4 linked regions of the Drosophila melanogaster genome follow. The protein of the gene in region 2 interacts with the protein of the main gene of each other region in a pairwise test. Each region holds a gene or a part of one and is shown on either strand. Other genes may lie near its edges.

What was found.
Region 1: the proteins of ERp44 (region 2) and AdamTS-A interact in a two-hybrid assay, tested with the Drosophila melanogaster proteins (one large-scale study listed by BioGRID).
Region 3: the proteins of ERp44 (region 2) and CG14011 interact in a two-hybrid assay, tested with the Drosophila melanogaster proteins (one large-scale study listed by BioGRID).
Region 4: the proteins of ERp44 (region 2) and ND-19 interact in a two-hybrid assay, tested with the Drosophila melanogaster proteins (one large-scale study listed by BioGRID).

Annotation. Positions count from the first base shown.
Region 1 is NT_033777.3:15,472,975-15,478,142, forward strand, and holds the start of AdamTS-A (ADAM metallopeptidase with thrombospondin type 1 motif A), read right to left. Parts: upstream 3,220-5,168; 5' UTR 2,315-3,219; coding exon 1,913-2,314; intron 1-1,912.
Region 2 is NC_004354.4:16,293,057-16,299,629, forward strand, and holds ERp44 (endoplasmic reticulum protein 44), read right to left. Parts: upstream 4,605-6,573; 5' UTR 4,586-4,604; intron 4,184-4,585; exon of another isoform or gene 4,027-4,183; intron 3,852-4,026; exon of another isoform or gene 3,735-3,851; coding exon of another isoform or gene 3,720-3,734; exon of another isoform or gene 3,615-3,719; intron 3,532-3,614; exon of another isoform or gene 3,429-3,531; 5' UTR 3,311-3,428; coding exon 3,254-3,310; intron 3,215-3,253; exon of another isoform or gene 3,076-3,214; coding exon 2,991-3,075; intron 2,259-2,990; coding exon 2,167-2,258; intron 2,063-2,166; coding exon 1,669-2,062; intron 1,599-1,668; coding exon 1,332-1,598; intron 1,258-1,331; coding exon 1,059-1,257; intron 985-1,058; coding exon 840-984; 3' UTR 797-839; downstream 1-796. Other genes in the region: caz (cabeza), read left to right, coding at 1-139; CG3632 (uncharacterized protein), read left to right, coding at 3,720-3,734, 4,605-4,728, 4,793-5,784, 5,964-6,154, 6,220-6,415, 6,484-6,573.
Region 3 is NT_033779.5:5,578,920-5,583,178, forward strand, and holds CG14011 (uncharacterized protein), read right to left. Parts: upstream 2,198-4,259; 5' UTR 2,047-2,197; intron 1,992-2,046; exon of another isoform or gene 1,984-1,991; 5' UTR 1,973-1,983; coding exon 806-1,972; 3' UTR 661-805; downstream 1-660.
Region 4 is NT_033778.4:24,662,092-24,666,052, reverse strand, and holds ND-19 (NADH dehydrogenase (ubiquinone) 19 kDa subunit), read right to left. Parts: upstream 1,656-3,961; 5' UTR 1,607-1,655; exon of another isoform or gene 1,597-1,606; intron 1,546-1,596; exon of another isoform or gene 1,538-1,545; 5' UTR 1,503-1,537; coding exon 1,374-1,502; intron 1,200-1,373; coding exon 1,024-1,199; intron 961-1,023; coding exon 870-960; intron 817-869; coding exon 685-816; 3' UTR 614-684; downstream 1-613. Other genes in the region: CG34214 (uncharacterized protein), read left to right, coding at 97-155, 215-602; CG30161 (uncharacterized protein), read left to right, coding at 1,724-2,479; Cpr60D (cuticular protein 60D), read left to right, coding at 2,751-2,762, 2,821-3,090; CG3663 (uncharacterized protein), read right to left, coding at 3,705-3,961.

The sequences.
Region 1 (5,168 bases), on a different chromosome or scaffold from region 2:
AAACTCTGCAAATAATTACTGCAAGGGTGTATAAGTTTCGGTTTTCCGAAACTAGCATATTTTTTTGTTTTTATTTAAAGTAGACGAAATAAATTGAAAAAAGAGAACAGAGAAACACGCGCAAAGCGACGACGTACGACTCAAAAAAAAAAACTAAATAAATAAATAAAAAAAAAAGACAAAACGCGAAACAGAAACAAAAAGCAAGAAAATAAATATTCAAATTCTACACATTGTGAAAATTTTATTGTCGAAATACAAATTGGACGGCGCAGCCTTACTTACATGCATGTATTTCCCGACTTCTCAGATTCTAGGCGCCACGCGAAAAACTAGAAAATCTATTTTCGAAACATTCACAACAGCGAGTGAATCGAGTCGCACCGCACTGAATATGTCACAATTACTCATGTGCTTCTAAAATGCCAAGCGATGTGCATACGAGTTTATACATACAACCCAAATAGACAGTACATCCTATTCCCATTCGATCCCGAGGGGGTTACGTTGCCACACATGGCCCGTTATCAGTGGCAGTTGGGCCTACAGACTTCACCACTCGCGCACCCAACATTATTATGCATTATTATGTATTCATGGACCGGGGGATCGTGTCGTTTTTCACATTTTACATTGCCCGCCAGGCGGACGTTGATAAAATTCTAATGGCCTGTAAGCCAGCTAGCCAGTTAGCCAGTTAGCCAGCTTGCCAGTTAGCCAGTAAGCCGTGATTTAGGCATGTTTCCATTCACGTTGTTGTCACGTCCCGAAACAAACGCTTTTCACACCTTGTTGAGCTCTGTAAATCGTAGTTATGTGCTGTTTCCACCCAGGTCGTGTGTAACTGCAATACCATTTCCTTAAACCGAACTTGAAAATGTTTATCGAAATTTGCATCTTAATTCGTCGTCTGCCTCGCACTAATGGGCAAAAAAAAGTTCGTACCCAATCCTGTCTGGAATATGGAATATCAGTGACATCCAGACAGGGGCGTCTTTGTTCTTTATCTCTATTAGATATCTTTTATGTTCTTATCTCCTGTGGGACATGTGCTCCCGATGCTGCAGAATCTTTCGCTTTCCCGAAAATTGTTGCTGCAGAGCTAGAGCAAGATAGTGGCAACCTGGCGGAAACACACGTCCGACATACATCAGCAGACCCTGTGTGACGCAAATGGATGGATTATGAGTCAGCTAAAGAAGTGGGAGCTGCAAACCCAAACCAAAAGGAATAGTTTGATGACCAGATTGCTTGATATATGAATGCACTTCGTGGAGGCGCTCTGGCGCATTTGGATCGAAGTGCTTCGAACACGTTGCCATCTTCAGTCTGTTTGAAGCTGTCGAACGGTGAGGTTGCCGAGAATCCTATCGTGGATCCAACTTGGGATCCAGATTCACATTTCCGCTGCCGCGTGCGCGGTGCTTCGTGGCCAGTGAGGCGTGTGAATTCAAATGCGGTGGTCAACGCTTTGGTTGTCGCTTTCTTTGTGTCGCCAGTGGTATTTAATCAAAATCGAATAGAGAGCCAGAGTGGCGGCAAAAGCAACAAAACAAAAAAAAAAATGAAATGAAATGAAATGAAACGAAATAAAACAATGCGGCATACAAAACGAGACGAGCACACCAAAATATCGGCAAATCAACCGAAATTATAAAAGAAAGGAAAGAACTCGACACATTGATGTGGAATCAATGCAATAAATTAACTTAAATTTGGTTTTCGCTTGGCCAGCCGATTTCGATAAAGTAGAAAAAAAAGAGAGAGAGAGACAGAGACGAATACAAACACAAATAAATGAAAAATCGTTAAAATCCCGGTCTGCGAATTCGATCAGCCCACGAAATTCGATGCGGCGGACTAGGCCTCCAAAAATATTTATACTTATGTAGAGCTCGGATTTAGGACCTACCTGTCTGCCCAGCAGCGGACCCTTGCTGATGAAGTCCTTCTTGGCCGAGTAGAGCTCCGGCGGTGGTCCTTTCAGCGAATACCGCAGGCCGGACTCCCCAAGGTCGTCCGTCGTCCCACGCAGACAGCGCTCAAGGGCACGCTCATCCTCGTCGTCATCGGAGGCGGTGGCTGAGCAGGCGGATGATACGCAAGAGGAGGAGCACGCGAAGGAGGTACGATCCCGAGCACCGGGAGATTCGCAGACAGTGGTACTATTCGTGCCAGTGCTGTGACCAGAAGTTGTGGACCGCAGTGTGGTGCTGGGATACGCGAAGGCGGGCAGGTCCGACAGCAGGCGATGGCACTCGACCTCCTGGCCGCCGGCGGGCGATTTAAGTGAACCGGCATCCGGCATGGACATGGCGATGACCAGATAAGATAGCGATCTCCAATCTCAGAAATCCGAAATCCCAAATGGCACGTGCAAAAATGCGCGCGAAAGAGCAACAAAATCCACAGTATGCGTATATACGGCTATACGTATATCTTGTAGATATATGTATCTTTACACTTATGTTGGCTCTATGGCTCTTTGGCTCTTTGGCTTTTTGCTTATTTTGTTAATTGAAATGCGACAGTCTCGTTCCGTTGCCGTGGGCACCGCACCCGCCAAAAAATGCGAAAATACGAACGAACAGAAAGGCAAAGACTACGGCTCGTGGGTATTAAAACGACTCACACTTATGGCTGCGATTAGCTAGATAAACTACTTAGTACTGGAGCCATTGTACGATCTCATGATGAATCTTTTTGCCGAATCACAGAATTTATTCGCAGTTGCGGTTGGGTTTTGGCCAATGTTAAGCTTGAACTTCACACATCGCGCCGAATGCATTCACTTTCGAGCTGCACCATTAACTTGGCCACCGTTGGCATTCTGAGTTGCTGGCTTTCTTTTCGCTTTCGGCCAGCGGCTATTTTTGCAAACTTTTCGGTGGCGAAGGTTGTCCCACAACTGAGCACCATGTCAGAGTTCACAAGAACACGCCGATCGTTTGGCATCGGCATCGCTATCGCCATCTGGCCGACATGGCTGGTCAGGATACGGAATACACTGGCGCACTGGGATGAATACGTATTCAAATTCGAATTAGAAATCGCAACTGGATTAATATTACAAATGGAACTTTAGCAATTGTCTGATACTACCGCGCGCGCGCAAATAAATGAAACGGACGAGAACGAGCCGATGGACCAGACCAATGCTGCGAACCAGAGAATTTGTATCTGTATCTGGCGATGTTTCGTTTCGGCTCGCTTGAGTTCCCGCTGCGGACTGAACACTGCTCGCCGAACAGCAGTTGGTAGCGGACGTTCCGCCGTACCGCCAAGCAATCTGAGATCGCGAACATATATCGCTCCGAAAGCTAAAAGCGGTTCTCTCGCAGCTATATGCTGTACAACATACATACATACATATGTACATATGTATGTACATACTCGTATGTAGGCACGAGTATAGGGATATGGGTTTGCTGAATGGGCTTAGGATTTCGATTCCGAAGGAGTGTTTTAGAGAGATTAGAAATACGTCAGAATCATATCAGTACGCAGAACAGCCGGCTTCTCTGCGCAGAGAGCGCTGTGGCGAAAAGAGAGCCGAGCGCGGCTTAAAAGAGCACTCGAACGCTCTCTTAAGTGCGCCTCTGCTTACTCAATATTTTTGCACATGTGAGGATTAAGTGTGTGGACATAATTATCATCGGATAAGATAAGGTGTGTTAGCATAGTAACAATCTTTGCATCTAGAGTATCTGCCTTTTCGGATGAAATAATATAAATATTAAAAAAAAAAAAAATAGGCTTATGCTGCATGCTTTATTCAGTAATAGTTTTTAAAAGTAATCAAAATTTGTAAACATGTTCACACTTGTGTGATACCAACCAATTTGAGTAAGTATGTACTTGAGTAAATAATAAAACTCTTTTTACTTATGACTTATTTTACTAGCCTATGCATTACTAATCGCACCGAGCAGTACTAAAAACTTTGAATACGAATTCTTTTGAAATAGAGGATAAGACCCTGGGCATTACCAGTGGTGCACTTCCGGAAGAAGTCATTTCGGAAGAAAAAAAGGAAGTTGATGATCACAGAGAATGGTACAATGATGACTAGCTCATCAGTATCAAAAAAAATTCTTTTTTTGACGTAAATAAACTGACACGACAGCCTTTACTCAGAAATGCGACAAATATAAAGATATATCTAAATAATCTACACAAGCTGAACAAACATATCGTAATAGTTTAGATAGGCAAGTGTAACTGATTTGTCTCAAATTGGTATCATTATAAACAATACTTTATACTTTATACTTTATATTGTCTCATTTGGGCATAGAGTGTGCGACATCTGCCGGATCCCAGCCCATCCAATGTGGGTCAAGATCAATCTACTGATCGCGTCAGTGAATAAAAATAGTAGCCATTCGCTCCATTATTTGAACGCCGAGAACTCTTCCACATAAATGTCTTCTGTGCCAAATTACCATATGTAGCAATTGACCCTATTGTATACTAAATATTTTCTTTAATCAAACGCAGCAATAAGAATTAATCAATTAAAAGACCAGAGCTCGTTTGCCAAATTAAAGTATAGTTGGAAATTAAAAATCCATTTCGCCGCCGTGGAGGTCGGCGAAAATTTAAAAATATTCCAAAATACGATGATGCATATTCATATACTACGGATGTTGCGAGAATGGTGGACTAATGAAAAACATCTCAAAAGATTCCAGGAAGAGCGTTCTCCATGCAACCATGCAATCGGCAACAAAACGCTTGTTTTGTAATCAACAACAAACAGCCGGCATCCAAATGATGCCAACATAAAACAGCAGCCATAACAGAACATCTTACAAAATAGCCCTAAAAGTCTGGAGGGGGCAAGTGAGTTCCCCAAGAAGGCTGTTTGTATTACACCGAACTAATCATCATGCCCTGTAAGCAATGTTTACACAGCCACTAAACAAAATAAACGACTCCTAGCTGGAGTCTCTCCCCAAGTCACTAATAAATTGCTCAGTCTAGCAAATCGCATACTGATCTGTAGGAAAGCATACGTTCTAAATTAGGAAATATTGCTCAAAGAGGCGCCGCTGGTTTTCAGATGCTAATGATCGAGCCACTGGAGACCGCTGACCACAATGTATCTATCTGTCTATCCATTTTTGTATCTATGCTATCTGCTCCGATCGCATTGTATCATCCTA
Region 2 (6,573 bases):
CGGCGGCGGTGGTGGTGGCTACTCCCGCTTCAATGACAACAATGGCGGAGGACGCGGTGGCCGTGGAGGTGGTGGCGGCAATCGCCGCGATGGTGGACCGATGAGAAACGATGGAGGCATGCGCTCGAGACCATATTAAGCGCATGGTAGCCAGCCGAACGCGGCACCTATTTTTTTCACTTTTACTTATTAATTGTAGCGAGAGTACGCTTTTAAATGTACTTTTAAAATTAACAGTCAGAGCAACTTTTAAATGATAATTGCCAGCACACGACTTCATTTGAACCGATTTTTATCCCAACACACACACGGTTATCGCTCGTTTTGACTGAATTATATTATATAATTATGTAATCTAATTTAACAACTGTAACTGTAACATGGTACATACGAATAAACATATATATATGTATACATATATAGCTCATATATATGTGTATATATATATATATATAGAGAAAATCAAAATCACTGCTTTGAATTCGGAAGTTGACATCATTCATTTCCAGCTTAGCTGACTAAGAAGGGGATTCCAAAGAATTCAATAAGTTCGCCTCGCCGAAATCTCCAGCGTAATTTTTAACAACAAAACGAGGAAAACTTGAAAAGTGACGCGTGCAATTTGTGGATAATTCAGCAACTGTTTCTTTTTGCAATAACAAAGGTGGTTAAATCCAGACTTTTTATTTTTAGAATTGCATTGAAGAGAATTGAGGCTGCTGCGCCCGCTATTTGCATGGATAACCGCTCACCTGCTGATCTGCTTTCAGAGAAGGTTGCTCATTATTACATTTTTGTATTATTTTCTTTTATTTTCAATATACATTATTATTATTATATTACAGTTCATCTTTTTCTAGCAGGGTGTAGCGATGCTTGGATGGGCCAAGTTCCTTGAATTTGGACTCTGGTGGCGATGTACCCTTGCCAGTGTGTGGGTCAGGTTCAATATCATTTGAGGGATCCGGCCCGTAATGAAATTCCCTGGAAAGCAAAGCAGCAGACCGTTTAGTAATTGAGCCCCATGGTGTTAGCAAAGGCGGCTGTATAACAATTACCTGTGCAGCTTGCCACTGTAGAGATCCTGAAGGAACTGCTTCAGCTTACCCGGCGAGTACATGTCACTGAAGTGGGGGAACAGATACATGTGCTTGAACGAGTCGATGGCAATCAAGGGCAAGTCATCCTCGGATTTACCCAGATGGTGCAGAGGATGCGCGAATCGCTTGCCATCGGCGGTCAAAAAGTTGACGTTCTCTGCAAAATTTCGAAAATACAATGTCAAACCAAATGCTTATATGCAAAGTAAACAACACGATGATTCATCTTACGTTTCTCATCCAGCAATTGACGCTCAATGATCGACTTGTAATCCTTGATAGAATTATGATCGGTTGGGTGGTGGAAGAGAATTAGGAACGGCAGACCCTCCTCCGTAAGTTCCTCTGCATTCTCAAATGTTATTTCCCGCACCAGGGGTACACACTTCTCTTGGACCCAAATTTTGAGCTCATCGAAATTTTGTAGGCTGCCAGTGTAGGTCTCATCGTTCTCATGAGACAGAGCTACATCAGGTCTAAATACTATGATAGGTGTACCTGTAATAGACCAAAAAAGCTGACATTCAGTATTGGCTTGGCATGACTTGGTGCGTTTGATAGAATTCACCTGGTGGATGCATGGCCTGGGCGGCATCTCCGAAGCCCACGTGGAACTGGCAGTCTTCCTTCAGATTTGTCGCCACCTTGCGGAATATGTCGTACTCTGGCTGGTCCCTACGATCGAAGTAGCCCAGAATGAGGCGCTTCTTCGAGTCCAGGTTCTCCAGATCCTTCAGGGATTTGAACTCCTGAATGGGATCCTCCAGCTGCTTCTTGACGAACTCGAGGAACGCTTCGGCTGAACGCTGTCCTCGGTATTCGCGCTTGCTGAGCTGCCCATTGCGTACAATTTTCAATGTTGGATACTTGTTTATGTGGAAACGGGACGCGATGGCCGTTTCCTTGTCGCAATCGACCTTGCCTAGCACCACTTTTCCAGCCTCTGGAAACTCCTCTTTAATCTGTAAGAGAAATTCGATTGAATGCCACGTATTTATTCGATATAAAATGTATATGAATGTATCGCATTGTTTGTAAGCTTTTACTGGCGATCCATTTGACTCACCTTATCTGCAGCTTCCGCGAATATAGGTGCTAAAATATTACTAAACCGACACCACTCCGCATAAAAATTAAGGAAAACCAATTCATTAGACGCTGCAAGAAAACAAAACGTGTTTTTAATGTAGGCACCAAATTGTGTGTAAAATTGTTGATGCGTAGAATACAACTCCGTTCAGATACTAAATATAATAACTTTTAAAAACATATATTTGGTAATATATTTATATCAATATTGAATTACGGGTTTATGTATTAATAATTTAAATGCATATGTATTTTTATGGAATATATTTAAATTTGTCGCTGAATATACATATTAAAGTCAAGAAATTTCTAGCATCCTACTATTCCATAACTTCCGAAAGTTAAAATTTAAGGGGTGCAAGCCTAAGGCCAGGCTTTACTGTAAAAGTTAACGTTTGGATAATAAAAAAAAATAACTTTAAAAAAACAATATAGTATTACCGCAGGATTGTGTACAGGACACACCGTATAAAAAGGACCTATTCATGCAAAGACCAAACTTCGGACATTCTGAGCAAAGAACTGCCGACCAATGGCTAGTGCCCATTTTGGCGGACTATCGGACCGATGCAGCATGAAATATAAACCGCCCTAATTAAGTTTTATCCAAATTCCACACCTTGTCCTTTACGAAAGCGCATAAAACTTATTTTACCACGTTGGCAGTGCCGAATTGAGCGAGCCAGTGATTTTGTTTAGTGACACGTCAATGGGACAAGTCGGCTAATTGATTCCCGCTCACGCTGGCAGCGGGAATGGCATGGGGATGACTGTGATGGTTATGGTATGGGCATATCTCACCTAGGGTCATATCGATATTATCACTGGTCATGGGCACGGCTCCGGCGGCATCGGCCGGCTGTGTGTACTGGAGTAGCTGTAGAATCTGTAAATTCCATAGGATGTCAGTTCTGGTTAGTTAGTTATTTGGTTAGGGGGAGCCAAAAAAAAGCCGGGGCTGTCTGGCCGGCCCCTCCCCACTGTTTCCCCGCCCGCTGATCGAGCGGGTGAGCCACTCCAGTGACCAGCAACATGACCAGACAGAACGGAACACGTCGACTCACCGCAACTAGGGCCACACACGGCCCAAGCTTTCCGATTCCGATTCTGGCTCCAAACATTCTTGTTCGGCTTCCGAATGGCGAATGCGGCTGGCGAGGAGTGGGCGTAGAATTGCGTGCACCGGCGGAGAGTCCAAGCGATCGGTTCTCTTTTTTTCTGATTTCAGTTACACATCAGCTGGAATGGAATGCAAACGTACGCACAATTATTAAGTTTTACAAATTTTTGGTTGATTTTATCGGCTGGCCAGTGTTGGTTAGTCTCGAATGCACATCTCATCGGCAATCGAGTAACGATAGCTTAGTCACATGACTTGGCCATCGCTAACAGCAGCGATAACAGCGATAGCAGCAAACAACGATAGCAATTTCAATGGAAATGAAACAAAAAGTGTCTAAATGAATACATATGCATACATATGTATGTGCAACAACATTTGCAAATCTTTGTTTATAATAGCTGACGCTTATGGATTTTATGGTGGTAAATAGAGCGAGAAAATCTAGAAGCCAAGCGCGTTTTCAATTCGGCAATACGTTTTGAGCTAAATACCCCGAAAAGTCTGCTGAGCGAACGGTTTGTGGAATCCAAAAACCAAATGTGTGTGCATACATATGTACGATTGTAATGTGTTATTGTTGCTCCCCGAAATATCGAAACACAAACATACCTACATAGACAAATATACATATGAGTTTATGCAAACATACACATGCGTAAATGTTTAATTACTTTGTTTATGACAACATACACGGCCATTAGAATACGTTGAGTACGATAATCGGCCATTTTTCGCCTATTGGCTATGAAATCGTGATAATCTAGTCTATTGGTATATATGTGCGTGCGTATGTAATGCAGCGACACACAAATATGTGCATACTATATATTGCGCACCTTGTGGAACTGCAACTGTGTGTGCTCACATAAATGTATGTTCATTGTACATTGTACATCCATACGTGCATATATATGCAGTGCATTATCTATATTGCCACCACGACACTCAAAAACTCAAATATTAACTTCGATTTGTTCTAAAAGTGTTGATTGTGCCCAATTTATCATCCCAGTGACATTTATTTGGCTTTGTTTGTGCACTGCTTAATGCACATGCACATATGTGCATAGTATTATTTATTTATTTATGGGAGCCACTATACTATACGTATCGAATCGTCCCAATAACATCGCACACACACTGTTGTGCGTAATTATGTATTCGGATGGTGGATATAAGAGATATATGCACTTATAAGCGATAACCGGATTTCCAATGACACCCAAATCGCCTTGCCTAAATATAAGCAAATAAGTAATTTCGAATACGTTACATGTTAAGTATTCTTTTAGCCGATTCACACAATGTCCGATGGATCACCGCCTCCATCGATTTGCTTTATCCGTGCCGCCGAATCGTATCCAAAGTCACAAATGGAGAAGGAAGACTCCCAGCTGTTCGTCCCGTTTCAAGAGTGTAGGTGTTCCCCCATATGCTGTAACCGATAACACATGCTAATCTATAGTATATATACCACTAGTGGCCGGCGAATCGATTAAGTACCTGGGGCGCACGGATGATGGTATCCTCGCCCTGTCCAATTATCGGATATTCCTTTCCAAGCAGTCAACCGGCTACGAGACCTACGTTCCATTGGGATTAATCGAATCCGTACAGGTGCGAGATCTGTTCCAGCTGATTGTCAATTGTAAGGATGCCAGCACTGTGCGCTGCTCCTTTCCGTCGGCGGAACAGTGCTCCGACTGGCAGCGCCGGATCCATCTGATGATCGGGGTTCCCGAGTCACTGGAGACACTCTTCGCCTTTCCCTTCTACTCCTGGACCTGCGATGTGCTCGGAAGTGGCAATGGAAGCGGTATCGTTAGCGCCCAGGCCAACGGAAACGGCCTGATTGCCAAGGATCGTTGCCTAACGCTACACAATGGCTTGGCAAAGCCAACAGCCAACGTCACAGCGTCGAATCCTCTGCCCGATCCTGCCAGCGAGACCATCTCAGCCGCCATGAGCAATCGCCTGCAACGATCAGTGCGCTATGAAAGCGACTTTAAGAACGAGGTTGCCCGCTTGGGATTCGATCTGAAGGGCTCGTGGCGCATCTCCACGGCCAATGCCGATTTTAAGCTCTGTCCCTCGTATCCACCCAAATTGCTTGTGCCCTGCTGTATCACCGATGAGATGCTCCACAACGTGGCCAACTTCCGGGGATCACGAAGGCTGCCGGCTGTCGTCTGGCGGCACCAAAAGTCGGGTGCCATCTTGGCCCGATGCAGCCAGCCGGAGGTCGGTTGGCTCGGCTGGCGCAACACAAGGGACGAGCAGCTACTCAAGGCACTCGCCGATGCCTGTGCCTTTGACAGGGGCGAGCACGCCAGGCATTCCACCTGCGCCAATGCAAAGGCGCAACCAACAAAGGGCTCCAAGGAGACCAACGGCCAGTCGGGCTTATCCGGCAAGAGTTCACCATCTCTGGACGATTCCTCGCATGAGGAACTCACGCTGGATGAAATCAAGGTAAGTTTATTACCAAAATAGCCGGGTATTCTTGAAATGAAGGTTTCAGTTACCATATAAGAAAACATTCATGAATAATTATCATAAATTACTTAACACGGAGCAGTAAAATGATGTCAAAACCGCCAAGTGCTAATGAAATAATTTGATCATTGCTCTTAAATTGTATTTGCTTTCAGAAAATCCTCATTGTGGATGCTCGCAGCTACACCTCCGCAGTTACAAATCGTGCCAGAGGTGGCGGCTGTGAGTGCATCGAGTACTATCCCTGTGCAGAGATTGAGTTTATGAACTTGGGCAACATCCACGCCATTCGAAAGAGTTTCCACGCTGTCCGACAGCTATGCGCGTCATCCCCCGATGATCCAAAGTAAGTTTACTAGCTGATTATTAAAGATATATATATATTTATGTAATGGAATCATATTCTTGCAGCTGGTACGGACAACTGGAAAAGACCATGTGGATGCAGCACCTGTCGGGTCTGCTGGGAGCCACCATGACCGTTGTGCACACCATCGAGAAGAATGGACGACCCGTCCTTGTACATTGCTCAGACGGTTGGGATCGCACTCCACAGATCGTGGCCACGGCGCAATTATGTTTGGATCCCTACTACAGAACGGTTGAGGTACGTTGATATACATCAACATTTGTGTTCTATGGACTAATACTCTACCTACTTGCTTGTATTTGCAGGGGTTCCGCGTTCTTGTCGAGCGTGAATGGCTGAACTTTGGACACAAATTCGCCGATCGCTCTGGAAATGGTCCCAATTCCGATGAAGTT
Region 3 (4,259 bases), on a different chromosome or scaffold from region 2:
TCCATTATACTAATATTTGAAATACGAGCAAAACACCACAAAAATATACTCGTTTGCTATTGAGACAAAAAGTGTATCATGTGCTCACATTGTTGTGAGTGAAAATTTGAGAAATATATAGCAGTAGTGTATAAAATGTTATTTCATTAAATATACAGACATATTCAATCATCTTTGCAATCTTGAGCAAAGCGATGCAAGTAATGGATATCTTATAGTCGATGTAACTATATCTCTCTACCTCTTGCCTTTACTATGGAAATTTCACATAAATTGTTGCATTGTAAATGCATTTGAACACTTTGAGACTGAATATAGACATATATCGCCTAGACGGTCAAATTGGATATATATGATTTATAGCATTTGCTAATGATGATGAGCATGTGTACCGTCGGGGGCATGCAACATCTCCTTTGTGGGGTCAGCTTAATGCAGCTCATTAACGGACCACCGACTCTCCTTGTATGATTGTGTAGCGGTAAACTGAATGCTTTTGACCCACTAATGAGCAAGTGGCCACTAACTGCTAAGAGCTAGTAAACTGATCATCTTTAAGGTGCAAACTGTTCTACATATTCACTTATGGAAATTTATCAAAATTACAATTATCTAAGGCTTACTATGACTTTAGAAAACTAAACCAAGAAACATTCTTTTCGGGTATTTAATAGTGCTAAATAAATAAATATGGTTACACTTGTTAAAACTTTGGTTTCACAGGGCGAGCTAACTCTCACCTTTTAGGCAGCCTGTCCAGGCCATACACTTCTCCCCACCTCCGACCATTTCAAATCCGACCAGCTTAATTCACCCACTGCTTGGGGTTTATAAAGATGTCGGAAACGGTGCCGCGCAGCGACTTCATTCCCTGGCTGGAGGGGACGGGCTTGGGCCTCTGGGCCACGTTGCTCATCCACCGACTGAAGGCCTCTTCCGCCTGCGAGCGGCGGGCGGCCTTCTCCTCCTGGCGCCGCCGCTCGGCATTCCGCTGCTCGAGGCGACGCTGTTCGAGCAGCCTAAGCTTGTGCAGCTCCCACTCCTGCAGGTGATGTTGCACAGACGCCATATTCTTTTGCGGCGGCAGCTGGGCAGAACGGTCGGGCTTGGTGAGCTTGGCGGTACTGGTGGTCTGCTGCGCCTTCTGCTGACACCACTGCTCGTACTTCTCCTTGGCGAGCCGCTGCCTCAGCTCCGTTCGCTGCCGCTGCGCCTCTCTCTCGGCCTGCTGCGCCTGCAACTTGTACTGGCACTGGCGTTGCTTGCCGGACAGCCAGTTCTCGTAGGCCTCACCGGCGGACCGCCGGATATGGAGCGGTTCGATGCGGCGGGTGTAGGTAAGGGGCGGCGATCCTACGCTCGATCCCAGGCGCAGCGAGGGCAGGCTGTGGCTTAGTGGCAACTCGAGCGGGGCCAGCATGCTGTCGTCCCGGGACATGGCCTCCTCCCAGCTGCACATCGAGGTCGTCGAGTCCTTGTCGCTGGAATTGTTGCCGCTGCGGGAAGAGGGGCAGGATCGGCTGCTGCAGCTACTCCGGTCCGTGCTGGTGCTACTGCTGGGACTGCCCAGATGCAGGCAGACCGTCTCCGACTCCGTCTGCAGCTCGATATCCTCTCCCAGTTCACCGACGCGGGGCCCCTCAATTGTCTTGGTCGACTTCAGGGTGCCCAGGGACAAATCCGAGCAGCAGCGCAGAGTGGAGGTCTCCGTCTCGTCCAATGAGTTGACTTCACTGGACGACTCGGAGCTGCCCACGTAGCGCACTGTGCTGGGGCTACCCATAGAGCGCACGAGGCTGTCCTTGTCACAGGTCTTGATGAAAGTCCTGGAACCCTTTCTTCGCGGTAGCAGTACACGAGCCCCCATCTCTCTGGCTTGGCCATCTGAATCCTGCTGGCTGGGCTGGGTCATGCAGAATAGTTCATGGTCGATAAGGGTTCCCTGACTGTTGACTTTGCCCAGAAATGCCATTTTGCAGTGCTCTTCTTTCCTAGGATTCCTCTTCTGAGTACAGATAGTAATCTTTATGGGGCAGATGAACCTACCTTCTTGTGTAGCCAATATTCAAATTCAATACGTCGTCAGGGACGATTTATGGAACACCTTGCTGGCTTCAGAACCGATAAACTTTGAAGTCTATGAAAAGTGTTTAAGTTTGTGTGTTGGAATAGCGAACAATAAACTTTTTCGTTTCTTGACATAAAACTCAAATGAGATGAATAGTCTTAGGTTCATTTTCCCCTTTTCGTTTAAATGTGAATGAATACGACATACCCTTGATTGCATGGGTATGTCCTACATATCCTTGCACCACCCTTTCGACGGCTGCCACCCTTCTCAGCTCAGGACAATGTAATGAAATGGTTGTCTACCGCACGCTTTGCGCTGCATAACATTTAGGTTTCAATTTCTATTAATATGCAATTTAGCTCTTTTTTCCTATTATAATTCTACGTCTGTGGCACACAGCTCCCCCACTCAAGCCCGGGTCCACGGATTGCCGATCGGGCCGCGCACAACTTGATTGCAGCAGCTGAAGTTGCCGCGAACGGTTGTTGCTCTTACATTCTAATCGAAATTTTTATTGTTCATAGTCACGAAAGTGCGCGGCTCTGGAGCGATGACGACAACACGGCGTCGTCTGCGGTGGTGCAGTGGCTCACCGGCTCTACAAGCCGGGTGGAGGTGGTGCGGTGGTGCAGCTGTGGCGGCAAGGTAATGTCAGTTATTTGACAGCGCCGACAGTCGAGTACGCTGCCGTGGCAGACATGCCACACTGCCTCACTGCTACATCACATCGGCTGCTCAAAGCCAGAGGCTGATCTTGGGGGGGATTAAGGGGGCCCTATTTCAGTTGGGTTTCAACTCCACTAACCTTTTTTATATATCAGCCGAAAAACTAGCTGCCCCCAAAAAAGTATATGCTGCCACTGCCACTGGTGCTCAGGTATGATTTCTAGTCGCGATGTTTAAAAGCTAAGCCAAATATGTGCCACTTTGGCATAAAAATTGCCGTGCAGGCCCTCCCACCACGCCCCCTCAGCCTATGACCACATCCGAAAAACAAAAGCGGAAAAGTGGAAAATCAGAAGCAGCAGACGTCGTTGGAAATGCAACCGGCATTATTTTATAATTTACAAACAAGTCGCACGAATGTAGCGACATTTGCAACAGGATTTGCCTTCATCGACAGCCAACGCAGATGGCCGTCCTCGAAACATGAATTTCCATTAGCGGTAGATGTATTTCACAAAACTTTTATTGATAGAAATCGAAATCGGTACCCTAAGGTACATTTACTCGAAACGCATAATTTTGTAAGAAATTTTTGGAACGTTAATGGAAAGATTGTACAATCTCATTGATTACATGGTGTGCTAGGGAAGTAGTGAAATAAACGGCTTGACTATCACATACCTGTCAATTATCAAATCGATTTCAATTCCAAGCTGAGTAAATTCTTAACTTAAAATTAATACATTTTTCGTGTCATTGTGTTCCCACATGATTTGTGAAAATTTCTACCATTATTGCCCTAAACTTAAACGAACCACTTTTGCCACAGACGTTGGATCGGTCTTTGGCCAACTTTTCTTGCTCAGTGCTTTCACTTTCAGGCCAGTCGTGCAATTAATAGGAAAACCCCATTAATGTCCTCCTCACCTCCTTTGCAAGCCAGACAAGAAGTCAGTCAAGGAGGCAGTGAGCTGAGCCCGAAAGGCGGCTGGAATATGACTTATTTAAGTCGGAGCCGCGTGTTAATAACTTTGCAAGCCTCGCCAGGCATGCAAACTTCAACCATGTGAGTGTCCTTCGTTGGATTTTCGCCTCCTTGCTGGCTCTTCTGCGTGTGGCAGGCAGATTAAAGTGACAGACAGGGCTACGCAGGCAAAATAACAAAAGGTGGTTAAGTCGTTGTAAGTGTTTAAGTCGACAAGGGGAGGTCGGCCGCCCAAGGACGAGGCTCGATGCGTGTTTATAGCGCTGTGAAATGAACAACATTTTGCAAGGTGATTTACCAGTTATTAGATTTTTCAACCCAAAGTGGCTAGGCTGGCTTATTGCGCTTGCCGCGCACCGACTGCCTACCTACCATTTCCTTGGGGAATACAGCTGCTCCTTTACCTTTTTATAATCCTGCAAAGTTTTTATTTGATTGCGACAAATATTCGCATCTCATGTCGCAAAAGAACAGAGCCGAGCAGAATGTCAAAGGCATTTGAGCAAAACAATTGCTGGGCCAAAAGTTTTTGCTCAC
Region 4 (3,961 bases), on a different chromosome or scaffold from region 2:
TGCATATATAGTCTGAGCAGTGGACCAAGTTCATTAGTATTGCATAGCAGTGCCTGTGAAGTGCGTCGTCCGCATAAAAATAAAATTATCTTCAAGATGGCTCCTCGAGAGAAAGTTGAATTTGTGCTGGTGCGCCTGGCCTTTGTTCCTTACATGTAAGCAATTAATATAAATACCCAAGAGATCGCCAGAAACTCATTCATTCCTGTCGCAGAAATCCTCTGTACCCGCGCATCAGCTACCAGATCAGAAAGCACGCTCCCACCGGATCGATTATCCAAGTGCGCGATTGGTTCGAGCATGTGATGATGAGGGAGCGCTCCAAGCTGCCCCCAGATGCTAACATACGCTACGCAGAGTGGCGCATCATCACCGGCGACATGGAGCTGTTTCAGGTGCAGGGCGTCCGCTTCGACAAGATCATGCTGGTGCTGGGCGAAGAAAACATCTCGTGGGTCTTCTATCAGAACACGCCACTTTTCCGCCGTATCGAGGGCAGCGCCTGCTTCCCTGTTAGCTACTGCGGATGCTGCCTGAACAACCAGTACCTGGATATTATGGCCAAAATCAAGCAAACTGTGTCGAGGAAAAAGATACGATGAAATAAATATATCGAGTACTAATGGAAACAAGAGTTTATATTAAGATGAACGCTTTCAAATTTCACTAGGCGCTGGCAGCTGTCTACTCCAGCCAGTGGAAGCGGGAACCGTACTTTGCTGGCGGCTTGGGGTAATCCTCGGGCAAACCGGGGGTGGCATCGGGATAGGAGACCTTCTCCTCCTTCTTGGGTGCTTCCCGAGCTGATTGGATGACCTGAAAACAGAAGTGATTAGGAGAGGTCTAAATAAAGCATGCCGAGAAATTACCTTGGCCCTCGAGAAGTATCCATAGGAGGGACGATCCCAGTCGAAGTTATCTTTGATACACTTGTCGAACACTCCCTGGGTCTTGCGGCAACTAAAGTATGGATGGACATTGGTATAGCATGATTGGAATATTCAACATTTACGGAGTGCTTACTGTGAAAAAGCCATAGTACCGCTGCTCTTATCCAGGCAGGTGGCGTACTGCGTGAACTCCTCATGGCAGGTCTTCTTCACCTTGCGGAAGAAGTCCAGGGCGCAGCTGGTCACGGCTTTGCCCTCCGCCAAACAGGCTCGCGGGTCATCCAGCTCCTGCCGGCACAGCATAAACTCCTGAAATTACACGAAGGAAAAGGTAAACAAACGGGGAAGGTGCTTTTTGAGGTTAGGTTATATAACTAAGCCGCTCGGATTTTAAAGAGGCAGCGGCTCCCAGCTTCACTTTAAGGCGCTTTTCACCTAAGCATTACTATCAGGAGGATTCCCCTGCAATCTGGATGTACTAACATTATTGGCCTGCTCGCATTGCTTGCCCAAATGGAAGGCGCCTGCCCGTAAGGCCGCCGACGATAGATTTAGCTCCTGGACGTTCAGCTCCGACTCCTCGGGCAGTGTTGTGTTGTTGGTGATGACCATAATAGCGTTGCAGTCCTGTGCGATCAACCAAAAACCTGAAAGGCTATGAAATTCAATAAAAAACAAAATAATTGTAGGATTTTGTTAATTTTACGTTTGCTTACAACACAACAGCTGATTTAGATCCAGGGCTGCTGAGACGTAGCTGTCAATAACAATTTATATCGATAGTGTAGCCGTTTCACAAAGTCATCGATAACAGGCTCACAATTTAAATTAAAATGATTTCTTTAATCTTATACATCTGTCTATTTTATAGTGCTGCAGCTGATCGCAATTTAAAAGTAGTTAAGTATGAGAATTCGGTTGACACCATTGTTAAGAACCTCATCGACAACTGGCAGTCGCCGCTAGTTTACCTGAAAAGCCGCGGCTACCTGCCGAAGGATGCGCCCGAAATGGATTTCCAGCAGCTGCAAGGGAACTTGGACCCCAAATTGTCGTTAAACGACTTAGTTGAGCTGAACAAGGATTCCAAGCGGGAGGCGGAAACCAAAAGCCAAGACAATTCCATTGGGCAGATTGATCCGCGGGCAGTCCGATCGCTACAAGATCCCAAGGACCTCGAGCTGAAGAAGATGTTCCAAACGCTGTTCTCTTCGAACGACAAGACTGCCTCCGAGGAGATCAAATCCAAGCTGGGAGTGTCCTGGGATATGAATGCTTTAAAGACATCCGCCCGTTTGGGTGCCAAGAAATATCTCGAGAAGTTCAACAACAAGCGAAATAAGGGGATGTCTCTCTTGCCAATTGAATCCTCAGATGGGACACTTACTAACGAGGCATCTCTAAATTTTTCCTCACTTATACCGCATGCCTTGGAAAAGAAAAGCAACGATTCTGTGAGAAAAACCACTATCAGTAAGCCAAGCTTTCTGAAGGGTGTGGCCAAGATTCTGAGCAATCCAGAAATTAGGTATAGAGACTGGGATTCCAAGCCTGCACAAGAAATCCTTCCGAAGGCCGCGGGCGCATAGTTTTCAAATTCATTGTTGATGATTAAATGTTCTTTTAGTAGCAAAATGGGTTAACAAAATCGCAATCAATTAGTTGGGGGAGGCTGGCCTGCTTCTGGTGCCAGAAGCAGACTCGATTGAGTAGCCGCAAATTTCATATTCATGGCTGTCTGGTTAATCTCAGTCATTTCATTAGCAGATGCGATTGAAACCCGTTTAGTGGGCTAGGCAGCTTCGGAGTATAGTATAAAAGGCCGACGGGCATTGTTTCATTTCAAGAAGCTGCTCCAAAATGCTGAAATATGTGAGTTTAATCGGATTTCAAACAGACTATTGGATAATCAGCCACCTCTCAATTTCAGAGCCTTATCTTTGCCCTTTTCGTCGTTTTGGCCAGCTGCAGTGAGGAGGATCTGCAGGCGCAACTTCTGAAGTCGGAGAACCGCCAGAACCTGGATGGAGCTGGGCAGTTCCAGCATGAGATCACGGTCAGCAATGGGATCCAAGTGAAAGCTCAAGGCAATGTGAACGGCATCCAGGGCGAATACTTCCTTCCCGGCGAAGATGGCAAGCAAATTCGCGTGACTTACACCGCAGATGCAACCGGCTTCCATCCGAAGGTTGAAGAGTGACCGAGTGACTTTGATGTTATGTTAATCTTAACTTATAAAACGGCGGTTTTTTCCATAAAATGAGTGGTGAGGTAATGTCTTGTTGTTCCAATAAAACGTTCCCCTGGTAGAACTCATATTGAGAGCTGTTGGGCTACAGTTCATAGAGCGCTTCAGCATCTTCATCCAAGGGTCTGTCCAATTAGACATTGCGCTTACAGAGCCCCTGAATGGGTCATGTGGAATGATGATGATTTCCTCATCCCACACTGCTGCACAAATAAAAGGTTACCGAACAGCACTCAGCTTTATAATCAATGCCGACAGGCGGCATAAAATACGCATTGTCATCCGCATAATAAGGAACCCAGCGGAAATGGGGCAAAGTGGGGGAACTCACCGGAAGGGAAGCCATTGGGGCTATTGTTAAACGGCAAATTCAAATATGGACTCGCCCATTGTGCGGGGCCATTGGAATATGTTACGGAAATGACAACTTAAATGGGTGCTGCTCCCATTCGGCCCATTCGGCCCATTTCCCATCCGCGTATCCTTGAAAAGCACAATTCTGCATGATGGTTTTATAAATGCAATTGGCTTTATAACAAACAGATATTTAGACAGGAGGGGCTATCTCACAGCTTGGCACTGCCCGCTGGCACTCCGCTCCCGTTGCGCGTGAGTTCCATATCCACCGACGGCTGGTTCACCAATTTCCGGACCACATCGAACTTGGGGTTGTTCTTATCTCGAACCAAGTCGAAGATAACGCTCTCACTAGTGGTGATCACACAGCCCGCTTGACGCAGGCGATCCAGGGCTAGATCTCGATCCTGGTTCAGCCTGGAGGAGCAGCAGTCCGCCACTATGTATACGTTGATGTTTTGCTCGA